Lonchura striata: one gene and its partner. The protein of the gene in region 1 interacts with the protein of each later gene in a biochemical or structural test. Links are inferred from orthologs where the notes say so. Each region holds a gene or a part of one and is shown in the gene's direction. Other genes may lie near its edges.

The links. The genes of interacting proteins can lie anywhere in the genome.
Region 2: the proteins of PPFIA1 (region 1) and GIT1 form a complex in vitro, tested with the Homo sapiens proteins (2 studies listed by BioGRID). The link is inferred for Lonchura striata from reciprocal best matches to the Homo sapiens genes PPFIA1 and GIT1.

What each region holds. Positions count from the first base shown.
Region 1 is NC_134608.1:54,939,244-54,949,777, reverse strand, and holds the start of PPFIA1 (liprin-alpha-1), read left to right. Parts: upstream 1-6,603; 5' UTR 6,604-7,370; intron 7,371-8,452; coding exon 8,453-8,716; intron 8,717-10,534. UniProt on the Homo sapiens protein: May regulate the disassembly of focal adhesions. May localize receptor-like tyrosine phosphatases type 2A at specific sites on the plasma membrane, possibly regulating their interaction with the extracellular environment and their association with substrates.
Region 2 is NC_134622.1:7,765,749-7,776,042, reverse strand, and holds the start of GIT1 (ARF GTPase-activating protein GIT1), read left to right. Parts: upstream 1-6,263; 5' UTR 6,264-6,317; coding exon 6,318-6,369; intron 6,370-9,228; coding exon 9,229-9,362; intron 9,363-9,446; coding exon 9,447-9,559; intron 9,560-9,642; coding exon 9,643-9,748; intron 9,749-9,823; coding exon 9,824-9,910; intron 9,911-10,019; coding exon 10,020-10,150; intron 10,151-10,227; coding exon 10,228-10,294. UniProt on the Homo sapiens protein: GTPase-activating protein for ADP ribosylation factor family members, including ARF1.

The sequences.
Region 1 (10,534 bases):
AACGCTTTTATCTACTTTACTATGAAGGACTAATACTAGAGGACACTGAGTACATAGAAATTGTAGTCCACTTTGCTTAGTGCCTACTCCAAAGCCACTTGAAACAGCAGGAGCCTTTGCATAGCAGACAAAGCAGAAAAAAAAAAGTCCATTTTTTTTCCTTCAAACACTGATTTACAGGAACAGAAATGTTGCTTCGCATACAAAAAATCCTTTTTGTTTTCCTGTAGTTGAACTATTTATAAAGTTTATTAAACATATTATCACAGTCTTTTTCTTTTTCTCTTACCAGGTCTCAAAACATTCTAAAAGCTGAAGCTTCAATGTTGAAGTGATCCAGGTAGAACCCAAGGGAGGGGAGGGGAGGGGAGGGGAGGGGAGGGGAGGGGAGGGGAGGGGAGGGGAGGAGAGGAGAGGAGAGGAGAGGAGAGGAGAGGAGAGGAGAGGAGAGGAGAGGAGAGGAGAGGAGAGGAGAGGAGAGGAGAGGAGAGGAGAGGAGAGGAGAGGAGAGGAGAGGAGAGGAGAGGAGAGGAGAGGAGAGGAGAGGAGAGGAGAGGAGAGGAGAGGAGAGGAGAGGAGGTCAGTGTCTGTAGACTTCACTCTGTGATCAACCTGTCAACAGGGGGTTTGGAATAAAAATAACAGCATTATTTTCTCTTGGAATGAAGATAGGATGAGGGATTTGGGACTGCTCATCCTGGAGAAGAAAAGGCTCTGGGGAGACCTTAGAGTCCCTTGCAGTACCTAAAAGGCCTACAAGGGAGATGGAGAGGGACTTTGGACAAGGGCATGGAGTGACAAGGGGGAATGGCCTTAAGCTGCAAGAGGGCGGGTTTAGGTTATATATAAGAAATAAATTCTTTGCTAAGAGGGTGATAAGGCACTGGCATGGGTTGCTCAGAGGTGTTATGGACTCCCCACCCCTGGAGGTGTTCAAGACCAGGCTGGACAGGGCTTGGAGCAGCCTGGGATAGTGGAAGGTATCCCTGCCCATGGCAGGGGGTTGGAACTGGATCGTCTTTAAGGTACCTTCTGACCCAAACCATTCTGTATTTCTGTGATTCTCTACCCTGAGAGGATGCCATGGCTCTGAAGCTCTAGGCTTCAGTCTTGCAAATATAGTCATTGAATTGCAGACCAGTTAAAATTACTGAGACAGACAAACTGTGGGCTGCTAAATACGCAGCAATGAAGCCAGGAACAGCCCTGCTCATTTCTGTGGACAACCACATCCATTTCCCTTGCTTTCCTACTGCAACAAGCCATGCTGATCCCACACGTATTCAACACCCAGATTCATCTCATGCTGCTTGAGACATCCAAGCACAGCTCCCACGGCAAGAGTCCAGCTGCCCTGGGCTCCCTCTGGAGCCAATGGGAACAGATAGGCACCTGTAGCAGGTGATTCATGGACCACACCAAAGGTCTGAATCACTCCTCCCATGGAGTGGCTCTCTCACTCCACTGATTACAGAGGCAAGCCAGGGTAAATGGGTTCATACTGTAGGTGGTCAGCCAGGTGGAATGTATCCAGACCTGCTCTAGTTACACAGGAGCTGTATTATCACAGCTGGTTCTGAATCCTTCAGTTTCTTCTTCCAATATTATTTGCAGCTACACGAATATGGCCTTTCTGAAAAATATTACCTTTTAAAAAATGTTTAACGAAATAATGTGCAGCTCTATTGCCCTGAACATGCAACTGAATATACTTTTAGCTCAATACCTTTCATTATAGCTATAAACTATCTGAAGACATGCTGAAATCAGACTACACTGAGGGAATGTACTATGTTCGAATTGGATATTAGGGGTGTATTTAATTTCTGATTGAAATAAATGATACTTGGCTTTAGAAGTTCTTTCTAGCTCAAGGGGATTTCTACTGCTGTAAATCCATACAGAAAAGACAGCAGGTGCAATAATTCTGAACTGCAAATTGCATAACTGAAGCTGAAACTAAGTTGAAAGCCTTTTCGAGCTCAGCAGGTTTGTACTTGAGTGAGAATGTGTGGTTTTGGTTGCAGGAGTGACAGCTAAATTTGAAAAACATTTACAGTCTTGACATAGGTATGATTCCCACTAAAATAAATTGTGTAAGTTCATCTGGTCTTTTAAGAGTCCTCTCCAGGTCTCCAGGGGCTTTATAGGGACTTTTCATCTTAAGATCAATTCAAAAACCCTCTTCAGTTTCAGAGCAGCCAATTCCCATTTGATTTACACCTGCCTGGATCTGGCACAGATCCGTGTAGACCCACATGATATAAATAAAATGTCAATATAAAGGACTGTGCTGTGTTGAGGTTTGTAGAAGTCGTGGCTTCCATTGCCCAAGGGCTGACACATTTACTGGTGCACTTAGCTTTATACATGGGCATAACCATTAATTACCTCTGTCCTCTTCTTCACAGGCCACCTTCCAGCCTCTTCCCTCTTATTCCTTCTCCCTCAGGCAAAGTGTCTCCTCTGTGTAGCAACCTCTAGAGACTTTTTTAATGGCAACAGAATGGTCCAGGTCACATCTATCTACTGACAAAAGGATAATCAGCGCTGCTGGCAAAAATCCTGTTCTTACATCTATCCATTTTGGTATGAAATGCCTGAAATGTGTTCAAAATTCACTTTGCTGCTAAGTCATTAAGTCATCTGTAAAGGACAAGGAGCAAATAAGATACCATCAGCTCGACTCGGGAGGGGGAAAAAAATAACCAACAACTGTCTAGGCGATCTTGGGCTATTTTCAGCAGAGGTTTTGTGCTAGCGTGGGGTGGCTCTGAGGCTCGCAAAGGAAATTTCGGCATAAATGAAGCGCGAAGCCGTCAGCGGAGAGCAGCAGGTGTTTGTCCTCAGAGCCCGCGGGCAGGGCAGCTCCGGCCCGACCCCACACCTCACCCGGCACGGGCTGGCAGGAAGAGCTGCCTGCTTTGCTGAGCTTGGGTAAACATTAGGATCTAATTTATCATGTGACAATAAAGGAAACCTTTCCCTTTCTCCCAACCCTTTTTTTTTTTTTTTTTTTTTTTTTTAACAGTCTTTGTTTGAATTTCAGCGTGTGGTTTTTGAGGTGCAAAGAGTGGAGATTTAACCTGGGTCTCTGGACTGATTACTTTGCTGTCAACTGATGTATGTGGGGCTCTTTCCAGACACATCCACAAGTGTTACGTCTCACTAAATTACATGAACAGGGAGCCAGACCTCTTGCTGAACTTACAAAAGAGACATCACACTCATTTAATTAAAAAGATCTGAGTTGCTGGTGTTCTTCATGTTAGATGGTATATCCTGGGTTACATGCCCAGGAGAAATGAAAAAAAAAAAAAAAAAAAAAAATGTTTTCCTTGTACTACAAAGTAAATAGGACTGAGAAATATTTTAGTATTTGCAGAGCCTGGGAGTTCTGACTTAATCATTCCATGTGTATTTCGTGCAGCACAGAGCATTATGCAAAGATCTGGTTATTCAATTTTTTTCTCTAGAATTTCAAGTCCTGGCCTTCCCCGCTGATGTGGTCCCGGCTTTGGTGGACTGCACATGGGAGTAGCAATTGGCTTTAAAGTCAGGCCTTTCAAATATTTTTGGGGCACCTCAGAATCTCTGCTGGATCCACAGTCTGGGCTCTGTGTGGCATTCATAGAGCCTGTTGCCTAAGGAAGGTATTTGCAGTATTCCACATGGGAGCATATTCCTTAGCTAGGATATTCTGGATGTAGGTTCCCTCCTGGACTAGGCCATCCTTTTGGGCATGAATACAGCGCCTCCTTCTCATGTAGCAGACATTTATATGCTGTGGGAACTCTGTTCCCACCTGAGGCTGAAACCGATTTCTCAAGAAAGTGCCTAAACACTGGCACTTCCACCCTCCTCTGAAACTTGTGTACAGAGTGATTTGAAGGTAACAGAGATAAAGGTGACAACTCCTTGAGGCTGAGGAGGGTCTGCAGCTAAAACCTCCTGCCTCTTAGATGGGAAATCCAACCACAGATGTGAAGAGCTGAGCAAGCTGAATGTGAGTGTGCCTTGTTAACAAACTGGGTGAAGTGAAAATTAATATACAGAATTCATCCATTTTTATTCTTAATTCAGGATTGTGTCCTAGATTCTTTGTTTTCATAATGAAGTAGGATTACAGAATGGTGAAAATATTCATTTTTTGGTTTTAACCACTTAAGGACTAAACAAAACTTAGTTTCAAAAGAAAAAGACACTGGGTTCTAAGGCAACCCAGACTGAGAGAAAATGTTACTCCATGTTTGAGGATCTACATGAATACAGAGGTTCATTAATTTATTCCACATGACCTGGCTCCTAGATCAGTTAATCCGACTGGATATATTGCAGTGTCCAGTTTGGGAGAGATTATCAACTCTGTGCCCGTTACAGTCTTTAACCTTTTGCCCTTTCATCCACAAAGTCTCCATTTGACTCGTCAAATCAGGCCAAAACAGTCTTTCTACTAACATTATTAATTTTCATTTTTTATGTGTGACGAGCTGAAGTGGAATGGTATTTGTTCACACAGCCATGAACTCCACTTTATTTTCCAGCCTTGTTTTGGTATTGCTGGAGCAGGTTATCTTGAGGATGCTGCCTTGGCAGCTGCTTAGCCTGAAGTCTTTTTCATCCACTGAAAATCTGGATCAAAGCTTATAAATAAAAGCATTTACCTATGTACAGATTAATTCATAACAATTCACTTTGGAATCTTTTTGCTATTCTTCCTACATTGAAAAGTCAGACCTCAGTTATTCAGACATTCAGTGTTAAATCTGATCTATATTCAGCAGAATTCATTATTTGAATGTCCCTCATCATATTTGGCTTTTTCCTCAAAGTTCCAGTTCCCAGAGTCATGGGATTACATTAGAAACTTCAGGAGGAAAAACAAAAATGTAATCTAGACCTCATGGCTGTACAGGGAAAACTTAAAAAATGTGACTTGAATTCACTCTAAAGGCTCAAATACCAAAGGGAAAGAGCACAGTGTAATAAATGTGTAAAGAATTTTGTGTGTGGAAAAGGAAGATTGACTCATTAGCGATCCTTTCTATCCAGTGCTAGGTGTCGAGATGTTGTGTTTAAAAATAAATTCACATAATCCAGCCACAAATCTGCAAAACCTTCTGTGCAGCGACTGCTGCTTTTTGGCATGACTTGCCTCTGTCTGCCTAACTGGCCCTTGATGCCTTTTAGAGCTTTCGACTGTAAAAGGAACAACAGGGTCAAAATGCAAATACTTTATTCAGGGTGGTAGCACAAATGCGAAGAGAGGAAAGAGAGTTTTCTAAGCTTTGCCTGGCAGACTTCAACTTTCAACTCATGGGCATGGTGAAGGCTCCACGAAGAGAGTAAAAGCTATAGAAATCCAAGTGGGAAAACATTTCTATGGTGTTTTGGAAAAATAATAGTCAACATAGCCAAACCCAGTTTCCTGTGGGGAACAGGCTAGTCAGAGAAGTTGTTCTTCACTGTGCGAGGACCTGGCAGCTCTGCTCCACAGAATCACAGAATGGATTAGCTTGGAAAAGACCTCTGGGGTCATTGAGTCCAGTCGATGACCAAACACCACGGTGTCAACCAGGACATGGCAGTGAGTGCTACATCCAGTCTTTCGTTAGACGCCTCCAGGGATGGTGACTCCAGCACCTGCCTGGGAGCACATTCCAATGTCTGATCACCCTTCGCGTGAAGAAAGTCTTCCTAATGTCCATCCTGGCAGCTCAAGTCAATGTCCTCTTGTATCCCCTGCTCTTGTCCAGGCTGAGCCCCCAGCTCCCGCAGCCTCTGCTGGTGCTTCACACCCTTCCCAGGTCCATTCCCTCCTCTGGACCCGCTCAGCCCCTCAATGGCTTCGGCCCGAGCTCCCCGGAGCCGGTCCCAGCCCCTGGGCTCGCAGGAGCAGCTTGGGCCAGCGGGGCCGGGCGAGGCGCTGCGACTGCGGGGCCACTCCGGCCTTGCCCTGTTCCCAGCCCGAGCTCGCCTCCTGCCCCGGGGCTCCGCTGCGGCTTTCCCGTGGGCGGCGGCGGTATCGCTCCCGGGGCGGGCAGCGCCGAGCGGGTCTCGAACCCCCGTCCCCAGCGGCGGGAGCGGGGCAGCGGCGGCCGCGCCGCCCCGCGCGGTGCATTGTGGGCGCCGCGCTGATTTATGCGGGGCCGCGGAGCGCGCCGGGAGCGGCGGGAGGAGGCGGCGGCGCGGCGGGGCCGGGACCGGCGGGGCCGCGGCGGCGATCGCGGCTCTCCGGGCGCGCAGCGCTTCTGCCGCCCCCTGAGGCCGCGGCGGCGCCGCGGGCGGCCGGCACCACCCACCTGGCCTCAGCCGACCCCGCGCCGGCCACCACGGACGTGGAGGCGGCGGCGGGCGGAGCCGGGCCCGGGCCGAGGGGACCGTCCCGGCGCGGCGGAGCCCCCGCCTCTCGGTAGGGGCCGGAGCGAGGGCGGGCTCGCCGGGGCCTCCGCGGCCGGGCTCGCTCCGCAGGGGCTGCGCGGGGCCCGGGCCGGCCGCGCTCCCGGCGCCGCTGGGGCCTCCGGCGAGGAGCGAGCGAGGCGAGGAGCGAGGCCCGGCCCGGTGCTCCCCGAGACGGGCGGGGGCAGCGGGAGAGCCCGGCGTCCTGCGCCCGCGGCTTTGCTAGCCGGCCCTCCGCGGGCACGGGGAGCGGCGGCACCGGGCCGGTGCCCCCGGAGCTGCCGGCTGCTTTCTTTGCCCGCTCTCGGTTGCGGAGCATCGTCTGTGGGACTAGTGCCGAGGAAACAACAGGTCTCGCTCCCTGCTCGCCTTCCTAAGGACGCCAGCGCCTTGCTCTCGGGATTATAAATGTTTGAACTAAGACGCAGGGAACTGGAAGGAGAGCTTCCCGTTGGAATTAATAGAAGAGAAAAGAAGGGAGGCTTTTCCAAATCCTCTACACGAAAGCTCGTGCTGTTTTCCCCTGCTGTCCGTACTCTGTTTAGTAACGCGATTGTGACCTGAGTGGAATTTATGAGCGATGAACTGTTGAAGCTTGTTGCATCTCTGCATCGGACATTTTTTCTTTTTTTGTCAGCACATGATTCCTCCATCCCAGCTGTTGCAGGGCCTATGGGCCAGTAATAGAGGGATGGGAAGCTGAGACAGTTTATTTTCACATTCTTCTGTACTGGGGACTTGGCGAGTTAGCTGAAGCTGCTGCTTTTTACCGGATCTGCTCTTTTCTCGGCAGGTTTATTCTTTTTTTTCATGTGTTTCGATTAAACAGTTACTGGACTGGAGCTGGATGGGTGCTTTGCAATCCAAAGGGTTTTGGGGGATAACAGAAAACTGCTAAAACAGAGAAGAAGACCTGGTGCTGCAGGAAACCTGGGGCCTGTTTTCACAGCCTTTTCGTTTTGTTGAGCAAGGTAAATAACGTAGTGGTGAAAGTTCAGGGCTTATTGTAATCATGCATGAAAATGTTGCAAAGCACTTCAGATTGTTCCTAGTCTTTCAAAGTATTGAGAGGACCGACAGTAAGAATCAGAATGGATTGTTTTTCAGATGTGAGTGTAAAATATAAGGCTGAGAGCAAAGTTTGTGGTACCTGAGAGGTTTCGGGAGCTGCTTTTCTTGATTTTTGCTTAAGTTCTTGTAGATTTGTGCTTTTGAGAGAGATTGCCTGAAGAACTGTGTTGTTGGTTCAGTGATTTACGAGTGGGTTTTTTCCATGGTTTTTAAAGCCTTAATGCCTTAGCTCTGGTAGGGATCTGTTAAGGTCTCTCAAAGGTGCTCCCAGTTGTGTGCTCACTTCCAGTAGTGCACTCCTCCTATTTGCATTGTTAACTGTATTCATCCTCTACCTTTAATTATTTTTGCTTACCTTTACTTTTGCTGTCCGCATTGACAGCTGCTACTACTCCATAATGAATTTTTATCTTCCTTTACATGTTTTTATCTCCCGAATTGGACCATTTTCATTTACTACTCATTTACCATACATTACTTTCACCATCATAAAACTTCCACAGTCAACATACGCTCAAAGTACTGTTGTAGATACAATCTTTGTACATTTGAAGCAGTGGAAGAAGCAGATAATGTTTCCCAAAATGTGCAGTGTAATAGTTTGCTGGGTGAAGTGTATAATTTTTGGTGTCAGGCTGCATGCCTTATCTTTTTTTTTTTTTTTAAAGACCTCGGCAGCAGTTTACTCCTCAAAAAAGCATAAATCCGTTAAAATGAAGTCACAGTTTGAGACATAGATGCAAAAATCTGGTTTTGCAAGAAGTCACAAGATTCTCATTATGAAGCAAAGCCTTGATTAAGTTGACTGTGTACCTTTTCTCCACTCTTAATGAAATAGTGGCAAACGCCAAGGTGTTGGCAGCCTTTGCTGATGCTATCGTGGGGAGAGCTAAGTGGGTACTACGGGCAGCACTCAAAGTTCCTGTTTAGATTTGTTTGACCGAGATTTCTGGCCTTTGTTGTGTCTCGTTTTTGTTTCAAGATGATGTGTGAGGTGATGCCAACCATCAGTGAGGCCGAGATTCCCACCGGGGGAAATGGAGGCCACGGTTCAGGTTCCCCGTTGCAGTCAGATGCTGATTCCCACTTTGAGCAGTTAATGGTGTCCATGCTGGAAGAGAGGGATCGCCTGCTGGAAACGCTCCGCGAAACTCAGGAGACGCTCGCGCTCACCCAGGGCAAGCTGCATGAGGTTGGCCATGAGAGGGATTCCTTGCAGAGGCAGCTCAATACTGCACTTCCACAGGTATGGACGTTTGGGAAGGCAAGGGGTTTTTCAATGATTTTTGTGTTCTTCGTGGTGTGCTGTTGGCTTTCTGTAGTTTGGTTTACTGAAGAGTTAGGTTGTCTTAGGGGAAGATGAATCTATCCTGAAGGATTTTTTGGTGTTTGCTCACTTTGAGAAAGATGCAAAAGCAAGGAAAGCAGGGAAGAACAGCCCTTTCTCTCCAGTCTGCTTTCCCAGTTTCTGGAATTTCCTTAGCATAAACGTAGAATGGTGTCTACATCTTTTGTCTAATAGAACTTGATGGACCTTTTTCTGCAACTAGTACTTTTTAAATGCTATTTCTTAATTGCCTGATTCATTAAGGTACTTAAGAATTATTACCTGGTCTAGTGGGAGGTGTCCCTGCCCACAGCAGGGGTTTGGAACTGGATGGTCTTTAAGGTTCCTTCCAATCCCATTCTGGGATTCTATGAATTCCATACAGACCATTTTGACTCTATTAAAGACTTTGATTTAAAACCTTGAAGGCTACTGCCTTGTGAATGCATGCTGAGTTGTCATGGCAATATAGAAGTCTGAGTGTGTTGTTTAACCTGTTTAGTTACTTTTGAAAAGTTTGGATTTGGCTTTTTTTTTTTTTTTTCGTCCTGTTAGGAGCTCCTAATTAGTGCCTTGTGGAGAATGCACGTGGCCTGCAGTGCTAGGTTTGTTACGTAAGGAGCATTGTTAGGAAAGGTGATTGGTCTCTGCAGAACTCTTTGGGTTTTATCCATTTGAGTTAAAAATAAAACTGGACTTTGAACATATTGAGAAGCCTTTGGCTGTAGGCAAAGCAGGGGTTGCTTTGAGGTGTTGGTTAACTGTTGACAGCCTTGGTCTTTCTGGTGTGGTGGTTGCTGTCCCAAATGTGGCACAATGGTGCTATGACTTTTACAAATGTTCCCATATCCTTAAATATTGTAGTTACTGTTTATACCCTTTCAAACAGTGGTTTGTTTCACTGCTCTCATTATAATGTAATCACTGTATGATCCTTGGTATGGTAATTGGTGCTGGTAATTACTGATGGATGGAAATGAAATGTGTTAATCTAGTTCTGTTACAATGATGAAAATCAGAAAGGAGAAGTTTTGAACCTTCGCTACTGCCTGTGTTAAATCACGTGCTGCAGGCAAACGTAATTCTTTGGTTTTTTTTGTTCTAATAATCGTAGCTTTTTATCCTCTGTGTCAGGTGTGCTACATTAATGAAGGCCATTAACCACTTACATGACCTGCAGACTGTTAGACCTGAGTTTGTGCTGAGCAGAATCATCCCAGCTCTCAGCTCTGCTGTTCCCCTTTTGCCTTTTCAGTTCTCAGCTTTCCTTCCTAAATATAGTTGGCTACTTGCATGTAACCATCACTTTCTAAACATTTCTGGAAAATTAATAAACAGTTCCCCTTTTCAAAAATGCCATAATTGCATGGTTTCATGTGAAATCTGTTGGAAAAGCAAGTCAGTTGAGAGAGAAATTTTACTGCAATTTTATGTAAAAATACAGCAGTGTATGGATTTTTGTAGATTGTTGTTGGAAAATACTCTTTTCATCCTGTGGAACATCTGCGTTTGTCCCTAGTGATACTTAGCTCACATTATTGTGGTTTCAAAAATCAGAAATATTTTCATTACTCTTGATACATCAGAAGTAACCTCTGATTTGGGCAGTTTTTGTTGTTGTTATGGTAGAGTCAGTTACTTCATGGGTGCAAATTTTTGATGGGGTGAAACAATTTTTAAAAAAAATTCTAATATGTGTTCACTGTCAAAACTTTGTAGTGACTAATATTTGAAACT
Region 2 (10,294 bases), on another chromosome or scaffold:
GGAATGGGGGCAGGACAACCACGGTCCCCACCGTGTCACCCGGCACCACTCCCCAGTGAGGGGCACGTGGCGGTGTCCCCTCACCTTGTCCCCGAAAGACGAAGCTGCGGTTGCCCCGCTGCCAGGTCATATGGTCGAAGCCCAGCAGTGTGGTGTCCACCCGCAGGTTCTGGCCGCTCTTCCACACCTTGTAGGTGTCGCTGGGGCAGATTTTGGACACCAGGGGCACTGGGGAGAGATGCCGATAGCCCAGCCGGGGATGGGGACACCTGCAGCCCTGAGGGGGCTGCCAGCACTGAGCTGGGTGGGGGATGCACCTGGGGAACGCGATGCCTTGGCAGGATGGGGGTCTGCAAGCTTGGGGTGTCAGGGGGCAAGGGAGCAGGTGACCCTCAGCCTCGGGATGGGGATGGATGCTGGGGCTGGAGGATTTCACTGGGAAATTCCCACTCCCCCCACAGCCATGCTGTGCCCCGAGCTCACCCCAGCTGGTGAACTCCCACTTCATCTCCACGTAGAAGTCCTGGGCCTGTGGGGAGCGCAGAGGGGTCAGGGGGACGCCGTGGCCGCGGCCCCGCCGCCCTGCCGAGGGAGGTACCTTGCGCAGCTTCTCCAGCAGGACAGGGATCCCCGCCAGGCGCTTGATGGCCCTCTGGTAGTCACGGTAGCGCAGGACCAGCTGCACCAGCTCCAGGTCACGGGTGCTCACAGCCTCCTGCAGGACTGTGGGGCAAAGGGGCAGTGTCCAGGGCCGTGGCACAGCATGGCACAGCATGGCACTGCAGAGCTGGGCGCTGCACAGGAGCACCACAGCAGCAGCGCCCTGGGGAGCTGCAGCACCATGGCCATGCCTGTGCCCATGTTCATGCCCATGTCCATGTCCACATCTGTGTCCATGCTCATGCCCACGCCCATCTCCATGCCCACGCCTGCATCGGGGCAGCTTGAAGGAGGATGGAGGGCAGCAGCCACCCGCTCACCTGTCCATCCGCTGCGGTTCTCCTTGCCCACGTCGGCGCCATGCTTCAGCAGCACTCTGGCACACTCGAGGTGGCCCAGCGTGGTGGCCAGGTGCAGGGGAGTGCGTCCTCGGGGGTCCAGCTGCTCGATGTCGGCCTGCCAGGAAGGAATGAGGCTTTGAGATCACTGGGGTGGCCAGACCTTCCTCCTCAGTGCTCTCCCACAGATGTACAGCTCCCAGACACAGAAAGCAGCCAACATTTGACAGTATAGGAGAGCAGCCCCACCCTGACCTCTCCCAAGAGAGGTACCTCCCTGCTGCCACTGCCAGACCCATGGAGAGAGCATGAAAAGCACAACGGTGGCTGCCAGCACCCAGCACACCTCATCACAGCCAGTCTGGGCTGCACCCACCAGGAGGGCACAGAGCAGGAGCACGCCATGGCAGTGGGGGGCACAGATGCCCCTGGCACAGTGCACGCAGCTCTGCACATTTCCATGCAGCTGCACGCTCCAGCAAAGCCCCCACCTCTGGGATGTGGAGGGGGCTGTGCCCAGTTGCCAGGCAGCAGCTGCCGGCAGCCCCCTCCGGCAGGGCGGGAGCGCGGGGGGCGATGCGGCTGCGGTGGGCGCACGTGTTCCCCTGCCTGAGCCGGGGGCGGGCGGCTCCGAGGATCCCCGGGGCCCTGGGGAGCCGCCGCTGTTTGTGCCAAACCCGGAGCCTGGCACCCAGCCAGCCCTGAGGAATCCCTGGTGCGGCGGCGGGTGGGCACCCCGGCACCCCCGGGCCCTGCTGCCCATGTGGGAAGCAGCGTCACACCCATGCCCAGCTGGGGATATGGCTCAGGAAGGGTGGGCACCCTCTGTGCCCCCAGCAGCAAGCTGGAGTAGAAGTGCCCAGAGCCACGGCAGGAGGTAGTGGGGCAGTGCCCAAATAATTGGTTTTGGGGAGGCCACCCACAGGAGAACAAAGGTGGGGTGCAGGACCCATAGGTGCCAGCTGGGACCAGGAAGGCAGAGATGTTTGGACATGGGCAGAGGTGGAGCACGGGCTCCCTGGTACCCCAAAGTCTCACCTGCAGCACATCCCTGCCTTGCTCTGGGCATGTCCTGCATTGCTGCTGCTCAGGGATGTTCCTGTCCCTGCCCAGGCTGTGCATTCCCGTGTCCCTCATCCCCAGGGACTCACCAGGTAGGGGGACCCCCCCAGTCTGCCCACACCACTGGAGTAAAACAGCCCCCCAGTTCCCTGGGAGGCAACGTATCGCTCCAATGCTCTCCAGGCGACTGCTGCTTCTTAATTGCACTAATGAAACTGCTCTAATTAAGGCAATCACCCCCCAGCTGTGGGCGGGGGCAGCAGGCTCAGTGGGGCTCCCCAGCTGCCGCCCTGCCCCAGCACTGGGCAGGATGAGGGTCCCCAGTGTGGGGACACGGTGCTGGAGCCACCCCAGGGGACATTGGCGTGACCCAGATTTTGCCAGCAAGAGCTCAGTTCTGAGCCCTGCTCTTGGGCTGGCTCCAGCTTGGGGAACACAGCACAGACCTCCAGGTGCTGCCCATCCTGGGGCCGTGACAGCCACCGGGGATGAGGACAGGGAGGGGTGGCTTTGGGGTGGCAGCGGTGCAGTGCAGAACCGCAGCTCAGTCGCTCCTCCTGTGCCAGCCGGGCACGTGGCACAGCACGTTCCTCCACTGGGGCTGTTCCTGGGTTGGAGAACCCCAGCTCCTGCTCCTGGGCAGCAACAGGGGACACGAGCCAGCACGCAGAGATGGTGCCAGGCACTGGTGTCCCCGTTCAGCCCCGGGTCCCTGTCACGCCTGAGGGGGCAGGCTGTGGTGAGGGGTGTCCTGGCACAACAGGCTCCATGGCACTGCCTGCCACATCCTCGTGATGTCCCTGTCAAGGGGACCCACTGACCCTTGCTCCCTTGTTGAGGCAAGTGTGGATGGGAGCCCATGGTGACAATTTGGGGGTGACAGACATAGAACCCTTATGAGGACAAGGAAAGGAACAATGCTGTCAGCTGCCCCAGTGCTTCCCAACCCCAAACACCTGCACTGGGGAGGGGCAGCACGTGGAGCCACTGCCCTGTGGGGGTCACCAGGACAGAGGAAGGGAAGAGCCCTGGGTAGGGGGGCACCCAGCCTCCAGCATTTCACACAGCATCAGCCCCAGCCCCTCACCCGGGGGATGCTCTGGCAGGGATAAGGGCTGAGCTGTGTCCCTGGATGCCCTGGACAGAGCAGGGAGCCTGGGCTGGCCCTCACCTCCTTCCCCCAAGCCCCCACCTGCCCCAGAGTCTGGCCTGCAGCACCCACGCTCCCCCCCTCCTCCCCCTCACCCCTGGGGTGCACACATGGCTGGCTTTGCTCTCACCCAGCAAATGCCAGCGGGGGCCAGGGCAGAGCCAGGCTGGAGGGTTGGATTCTCCCTGCAGCGAGCGGGTCAGAGCCCCCCCGCAGCCCCTCCACCTCCCCAGCTGCCGAGCCCAGCTTTGATCTCCGCCCGCGCTGAGCTCCCGGGAAGACTGACCCCAAATTAGCACGAAAATAAAAACACTGGCCATGGGGTGGGAGACCGGGGCGATGCTGGCGCAGCCTCCGGCTGGACCCCACAATAGAGACGGGTGTGGCGGGAGCCATCGCCTGCATCCCGGCGGGAGCTTCGCGGCACAATGACCCCCGTTTCACGCATCACCAGGGTCCATCCAGCACGGCCCTCGGTGCCTTGGGGTTTGGGAACCCGGGCCGAGAGACTGGGGATGCTCAGCACAGCTTCCCCGCCAGCCTCCCTCCAGCGCCTGCGGTTTCCTGCGTCTTCGGGGTTGGGTTTTAATTACCTGAATTGCATCGCCACGGGGGAGAGGGAGGCTGGGAACCCGCCGGGGAAGCACCCACACCCCGCTCCATCACCAGGCGGCTGGGAGGTTCCCTGGCTGAGGGACAAAGTGGGTCCCCTCACCATGAGGAGAACCCTTGTGGGGCTGGGGGGCTGCGCCCCGACAGCATCAGGGCCCTTGTCCCCCCGCCCCCAGGGGCTCAGCCTGAGGGTGCGGAGCTGATGCTGCACCCCCAGGGGGCTGGCAATACCCTGAGAAGCGGGGTGCGGGCCGGGGGTCTGCAGAGGCCTAGCAGGGAGCCGGGGACACGTGCGGAGGGCTGCTCGGGGCTGCGTGTGCTGGAGGATGCAGGGGACCCGCGGGTGGCACCCACCGCTCCCTGGCAGCCCCGGGGACAGCGGGCACAGTCCCGGGGTGCGGGTGGGGACACACAGCGCACCCCCAGAGCCCCGCCAGCGCAGAGAGCGACCCCATCCTTATCACCCCCCTCATCTCCATCCTCATCCTCACCCCGGCCCCGAGCATTGCATCAGCCCGAGCGGAGCCGGGCCGGGCCGGGCCGTGCCGGGAGTGTCCCCGCGCCGCCCCACCTGCTTGGCGCTGAGCTCCCGGTCCAGGTCACGGGCGCGGTTGTGCCAGACGAGGTAGTGCAGCGGGTACCTGCCCTCCGGCCCCTTCCTGCCCGAGCAAGACGCGAGCATCCTCCGTGCATGCTGGAGCGGCGCGGCGGGCGCGGCGCGGGGCGGCGCGGCGCGGGGCGGGGGGGCGCGGGGCGGGGCGGGCCACCACCTCCCGCCCGGTGCTTCCCCGGCCCCCCCGCACCGCCCGGCCTCATGGGACTTGTAGTTGCCCTGCCCGGCATCGCCCCCTTCTCCTTCCTCATCTTCATCCTCCTCTTTCCTCGCCCCCCCCTCCCGCACCGCTCAGTCCATCACCGCGGCTTCCGATCCCGCGGGGGGGACCTGCGAAGGGGCGCCCCATTGGCGATTAGCATCCTCCCCACATTGCCCCCTTTCCCAGGCTGATCTTCCCCTTCCCAGCTGATCTCCGCTCCCCCGGTGGGGCAGCGGACCCGGGCATATGGTGGGGCAGGGGTGAAGGCGGCAGGTGGGGACCAGGTGGGGGGACCCCGACTCCCGGCCCCGCAGCACCAGGCACGGGGGCCCCAGCCCCGTTTCCTTTTCCGCCCGCGTCTCTCCCGGGCGGGCGTCGCGTTTTCCGGCTGCCGCCCGAGAACAATGCAAGGCTGGGCCTCTGCGGCCGCCCCGGCCTCCGCCGGCGCCACGCTCCCGGCCCCGCACCCCGCTGCTCCCCACCCTGCCATGGGAGGAGCCCCCCGCTGTTGTTCTCTGCTCGGCCGTGGCGGTGGTCGCATCCCCCCGCCCCTGTCCCCGCACAGCATCCCCCGTCCCCGCTGCCCCATGATGTCGTGAGCAGCCCGCGGTGAGGCCACCCCGCCTGCCCCACGGCGGGGGGACACCATGCGACCCCGCTCCTGCTGGGGTCTGACCCCCCCGGCTGGCTGTGGGGCACCCATCGGTGTCCCCTCTGGTACCTAAAGGGTCGCAGGAGGGAGCAGACCCCATACAGTCCCCAGTCCTCCCCACCCACCCCCAAAATCCCCAGTGGAGCACCATAAAGGGGTGTGTGGCCCAACCCAGTGTCCTGGAGAAGGGGTGTGTCCGGGAGTGGGGTACACAGCGTCAGAGGTGGCATGGGGAAGAGGGCTGGGGCTGCCCCAGGACTGCGGCTGGATCCAGAACAAGTGTCCAGAGCAGGACTGCAGCAATTTGGGGGTGCCCTGGGCTGGGACTGGGGGTACACGGGACCCGGTACAGGAATGAGATCAGTGCCACCCCTCCAGGATAAACAGGACAAGGGCGGGGAGGAGGACCAGGACAAAATGAAAATGGGACCGGGAGTGCACCGAGGACGGGCACGGGGTCAGGGCTAGGGGATGCCCGGGATCAGAGCAAGGGCAGTGCTGACGCCCAGGAGCAGGTGAGGTGCCCCGGTCCGGGACCGGGCTGTCCGGGGGGCGTTTGCAGGTGCGGGTGCGGGTCGGGGGCGGCGCCGGTGCGGGTGTGTGCAGCGGTGCCGGTGTCCGCACGAATTCTTGTGCGCGTCCGGGTCCGTGTGCGGGGCGGGGGCGGTCCCGGTGCGTGTCCCGGTGCGGGGCGGTGCCGGCGCCGGTGCGGGTTCGGGTGCGGCTGCGAGTGCGGGGCGGTGCCGGTGCCGGTGCGGGGCGGCCGCGGCGGCGCTGCCGGTGGCGGGGCGGGGGCGGTGCGGCCCCTCCTCCGCCGGGGCCGGGCCTGCGCCGCTTCCTGCGGAGCCGCCGGGCGCTGGGAGCAGCCGGCAGCCCCCGGCCCCGCCGCCCGGGCCCCGCCGCCCCCTCCCCGCTGCCCGGCCCCCCCCACCCCTTCCCCGCCGCCGCTCCCCCGGCGGGCCCGGGGGCGCCGCCGCCGCCCCACGCTGGCGCAGAGGCCCGGGCCCGGGCCCGCCTCGCCGCTGAGGATGTCCCGGAAGGCGCCGCGGGCAGAGGTGTGCGCCGACTGCAGCGCCCCAGGTAAGGGCCCCCCCGCATCGGCACCGGCACGGCCCCGCCAGCCCCCCCGCGCCTCCTGCTGCCCCCCGGAGCCTGCCCTGCGCTCCCCCCGCGCCGCCGAGAGCCCCCGGGGCGGCCCCGCAGCCCCGCCAGCCCCCGCTGCACCCCGGGGTGCTTGCCCCCGGACTGCTCCCCGTGACCCCTTTTGCATCTCCTTCTACACCCCACATCGAGACCCCTTTGCACCTCCCTGAGTGCCCCCAGGGTCGCCCTGGTGATTCCTTTCTGCGCCCCACTCTGCGCACCCGAGGGAGCCCCATGGAGTCCCCCTCCTTCCCCCCAGGAGCCCTCTGATGTGCCCCCAGTGAAACGCTTTGATGAAACCCATGACCCCGTTGGTGCACCCCCTTTTAGCCTCCTGGAATGCCCGAATACACCCGAGACGCAGCCCCGATACCCCCGCATGCCCTCCTCCGTGCCGCTCCAGCGCGCCCCGTGTGCCCCACGCCCCCCTGCACCACCCACGGCGTTCTCACCCCAGCGCGGGGGCTGCTGGCACAGGCTGGGGGCGCGCCGGTCGGTGCCAGCAGCGCTGGTGACCCTGTAAATGGCAGGATGATGGGGGACACCCTGCACCCCACAGCCGGCACCCACCCCAGCCGGATCCGGGCTTGGCGGTGCCGGTTGGGTGAGCCCGGCGGCCGCCGCGCTGCAAGCCGGAGCCGAGCCTGGGCAAGACCATTCCCATCCCCGGCGGTGCCCGTGCCCACAGCCCCCACGCTGGGCACGCGCGGAGGGTTTGGCCCCCCAAACCCTGCCCACGGTAGGGCCGGACCCCAAACCTGCCCGTAGCCGGTGCAGGTGGCCCCACGGCAATGAATGAACGGGTCTCCGAGCCGGCCCCGGAAAGCTGCCCGCGGGCCAAGGCTGTGCCGAAATTATTCCGGCCACGTGCCAATGGCCGGATCCTGCCAGGAGAGCTGTCGGCACGCGTGGGCGAAAGGCTGCCCTGCCTCCTGGCATCCCCCGTGCCGGCGGGCGAGCGGGGGGCCAGGGGTTCCCGGGGCGGTGCCGGGGCTCCCTTCTGCGGCCAGGGGAAATGGAAACCAGTCTCTTCCAATCTCTTATCGCCTGGCAGCCATGGGAGGAAATGAGTTATAAAGTCCAGAGGCCGTTTCCTAGCGCGCTGGGAGCACCCGCTGTCGCTGCCGGGGATGCGCTGCCTGGCCCTGCGTGGGGAGGTGCCCGTGGGATGCGCTGGTCCCTGTGCCCGGCCTCCCTCGGCCCCACGCAGGGATGCCGGCTGGCCCCAGCCCTGCCATCGCCAGTGCGGGGCCGAGCGCTGGCGGTCCCGGTGCCAGCGCACATCCCGATGCGGGGATCGAGGTGCTGCGAGCTCCCTTGGACTCCAGGATCCTGCCAGGGTTTGGAGTGTCCCTGTGCGAGCACTCCACGATCTGCTGCAGTGCCCGCCCGCATCCCACCACATCCCAGCGGTTTTAGGGTGGGAGGGGCTGTTGCCCCAGGGATATTCTGGATCCACCCGCTTGGAGGGGCCGGCTCCCCCCGCACGGAGCGTCCTGTTCCCGGCGGTGGCCGTGGGCAGCGGGTGCGAAGGCGCAGATGCCGCCGCACCGGCTGCCAAGGCGCTGCCATCTGCGTGCGAGGGGCTGCCAGGCTGGGGGGGCCACCGCTCCCCCCGGGCCACCCCACCCCGGCCCCGGGGCACTGCAGCATGGCAGGATGCCGTGCCCCCCAGCACGGTGTCCTCAGGGCTCTGGGGGGGTGCGTGGGGAGGGGTCCGGGACCCTGCAGGGAGGAAGGAAGTGGGGGAGGCTTGGCTGCTTGCCTGCCTTCCTCTCTCTGTGAGGTCGTGGGGCCACTGGGGGCTCAGGGCCATCGGGCAGGTCAGTGTGGTCACCTCCCCAGGCCCTGTATCCCCGGGCGTGGGGCTGCCCCCCGCCGTGGGACAGTGTGGCGTTTGTGTAGGACCTACAGAAACGAGGGGATGGGGTGGGGCTGGGCAGAGGGTGGCAGGACTGCCCCGTCGTGCCTGGCGGAGGGGACACCTGGGAACGATTCAGCGATTCAGCATCCGTGCCTGGCTGCCTTTCCCGGGGGGGAGAGGGGCTGTGACCCAGCGGGGGTCCCCAAATCCTGTCCTCATGCTGCTGTGAACAGCTGCAGCTCAACGGCCACACCACGGGGCCAGGCCCCCTCGTCCCCAGGACCTGTTTTTGGGGTGCAGGCGTGGGGAGCCGCTGCCTGGCCGGGAGCGGTGCCCCCGCGGGTGCCGGGGCTGGTGCCAGCGCGGGGCCAGCGCGGCTGCTCAAACGATCCTTTGTTCCCAGCGGGGACACAAAGGGCTCCAGTCCAGCCGGCCGGGGCCAGCGGCGGGGCTGGAGGGGCACGGCAGCCTGGGGGGCCATGGCACCTGCCCCGGGGCTGGGGTGTCCTGTGGGCTGGCTGCGCTGCGGAGCTGAGGGTGCAGAGCTGGTGACCACCCTACCTAGGAGCCCATGGACTGGGGGTGCCCACCCCTTGTGGGACACACTGCCCCCATCCAGGACCCCCCAACACCCAGCCAGGGGCTCCGGGGGTGAGTGACCTCGCAGTGAGCCAGGGTGCCCCTGATCAGAGTGTGCTGGCATCATCCCTGCCACCAGCTGTCCTCCTGATGGTGGGGGGCCAAACCCTGCCCCCCTTTTGGCTGGCGGTTGCTATGGGAAACCCGTGGGTTTCCCCTGGTGATGGGCCGAGCCCCTCTCCATCTCCCGGGAAATGGTTGCTGTGGCAACGCATCCCCCCTGCTGGATGGATGCATGAGGAGGGGACCGCACGGGGAGGGGACACCCGCTGACACCCCCATGCCACCCCCAGACCCTGGCTGGGCGTCGATCAACCGCGGGGTGCTCATCTGCGACGAGTGCTGCAGCGTGCACCGCAGCCTGGGCCGCCACATCTCCATCGTCAAGCACCTGCGCCACAGCCCCTGGCCCGCCACCCTGCTCCAGGTGGGTGCTGGGGACACTGGAACGGGGGGAGATGCGCACTGGGACCCCCCCCCCCGCCCACTGGGCCCTGCCTGTCCCCTGCAGATGGTGCACACCTTGGCGAGCAACGGGGCCAACTCCATCTGGGAGCACTCGCTGCTGGATCCAGCGCAGGTGCAGAGCGGGCGCCGGAAGGCAAACCCCCAGGACAAAGTGCAGTAAGTGTCCCCTGTGCTGTGGGGAGGGGGTCAGCACTGGCTGCAAGCCCCCTCCTCACCCAAAACCCACTGCTCACACCCAGCCCCACCAAGTCGGAGTTCATCCGTGCCAAGTACCAGATGCTGGCCTTCGTCCACAAGCTGCCCTGCCGGGATGATGACGGTGTCACTGCCAAGGACCTCAGCAAGGTGGAGTGGCGGCTCAGGGACCCCCACTATGGCAGTGAGGACAGATCCCCCCATTACCAGCTCTCTCCTCTGCAGCAATTGCACTCGAGCGTGCGGACGGGTAACCTGGAGACCTGCTTGCGCCTGCTCTCGCTGGGTGCCCAGGCCAACTTCTTCCACCCGGTGAGCTCTGGTGGGGCCCAGGGACCCCAGAGGTGGAGTGGGGCCCAGGGGGGTCCTGGAGCCTCACGCCACGTGCAGGCTGCAGGGCTGAGGCTGCCCATGCCCGCAGGAGAAGGGCACCACACCGCTACACGTGGCCGCCAAGGCCGGGCAGATCCTGCAGGCAGAGCTGCTGGTGGTCTACGGTGCCGACCCTGGGGCGCCCGATGTGAACGGCCGGACGCCCATTGACTATGCCAGGTGAGGGCAGGGAAGGGGGTGACCCCTGCCTGCACCCCCACCTAGGGTGGGCATCACCCCTGCCGGCCCTCCCACAGGCAGGCAGCCCAGCACGAGCTGGCGGAGCGGCTGGTGGAGTGCCAGTACGAGCTGACCGACCGGCTG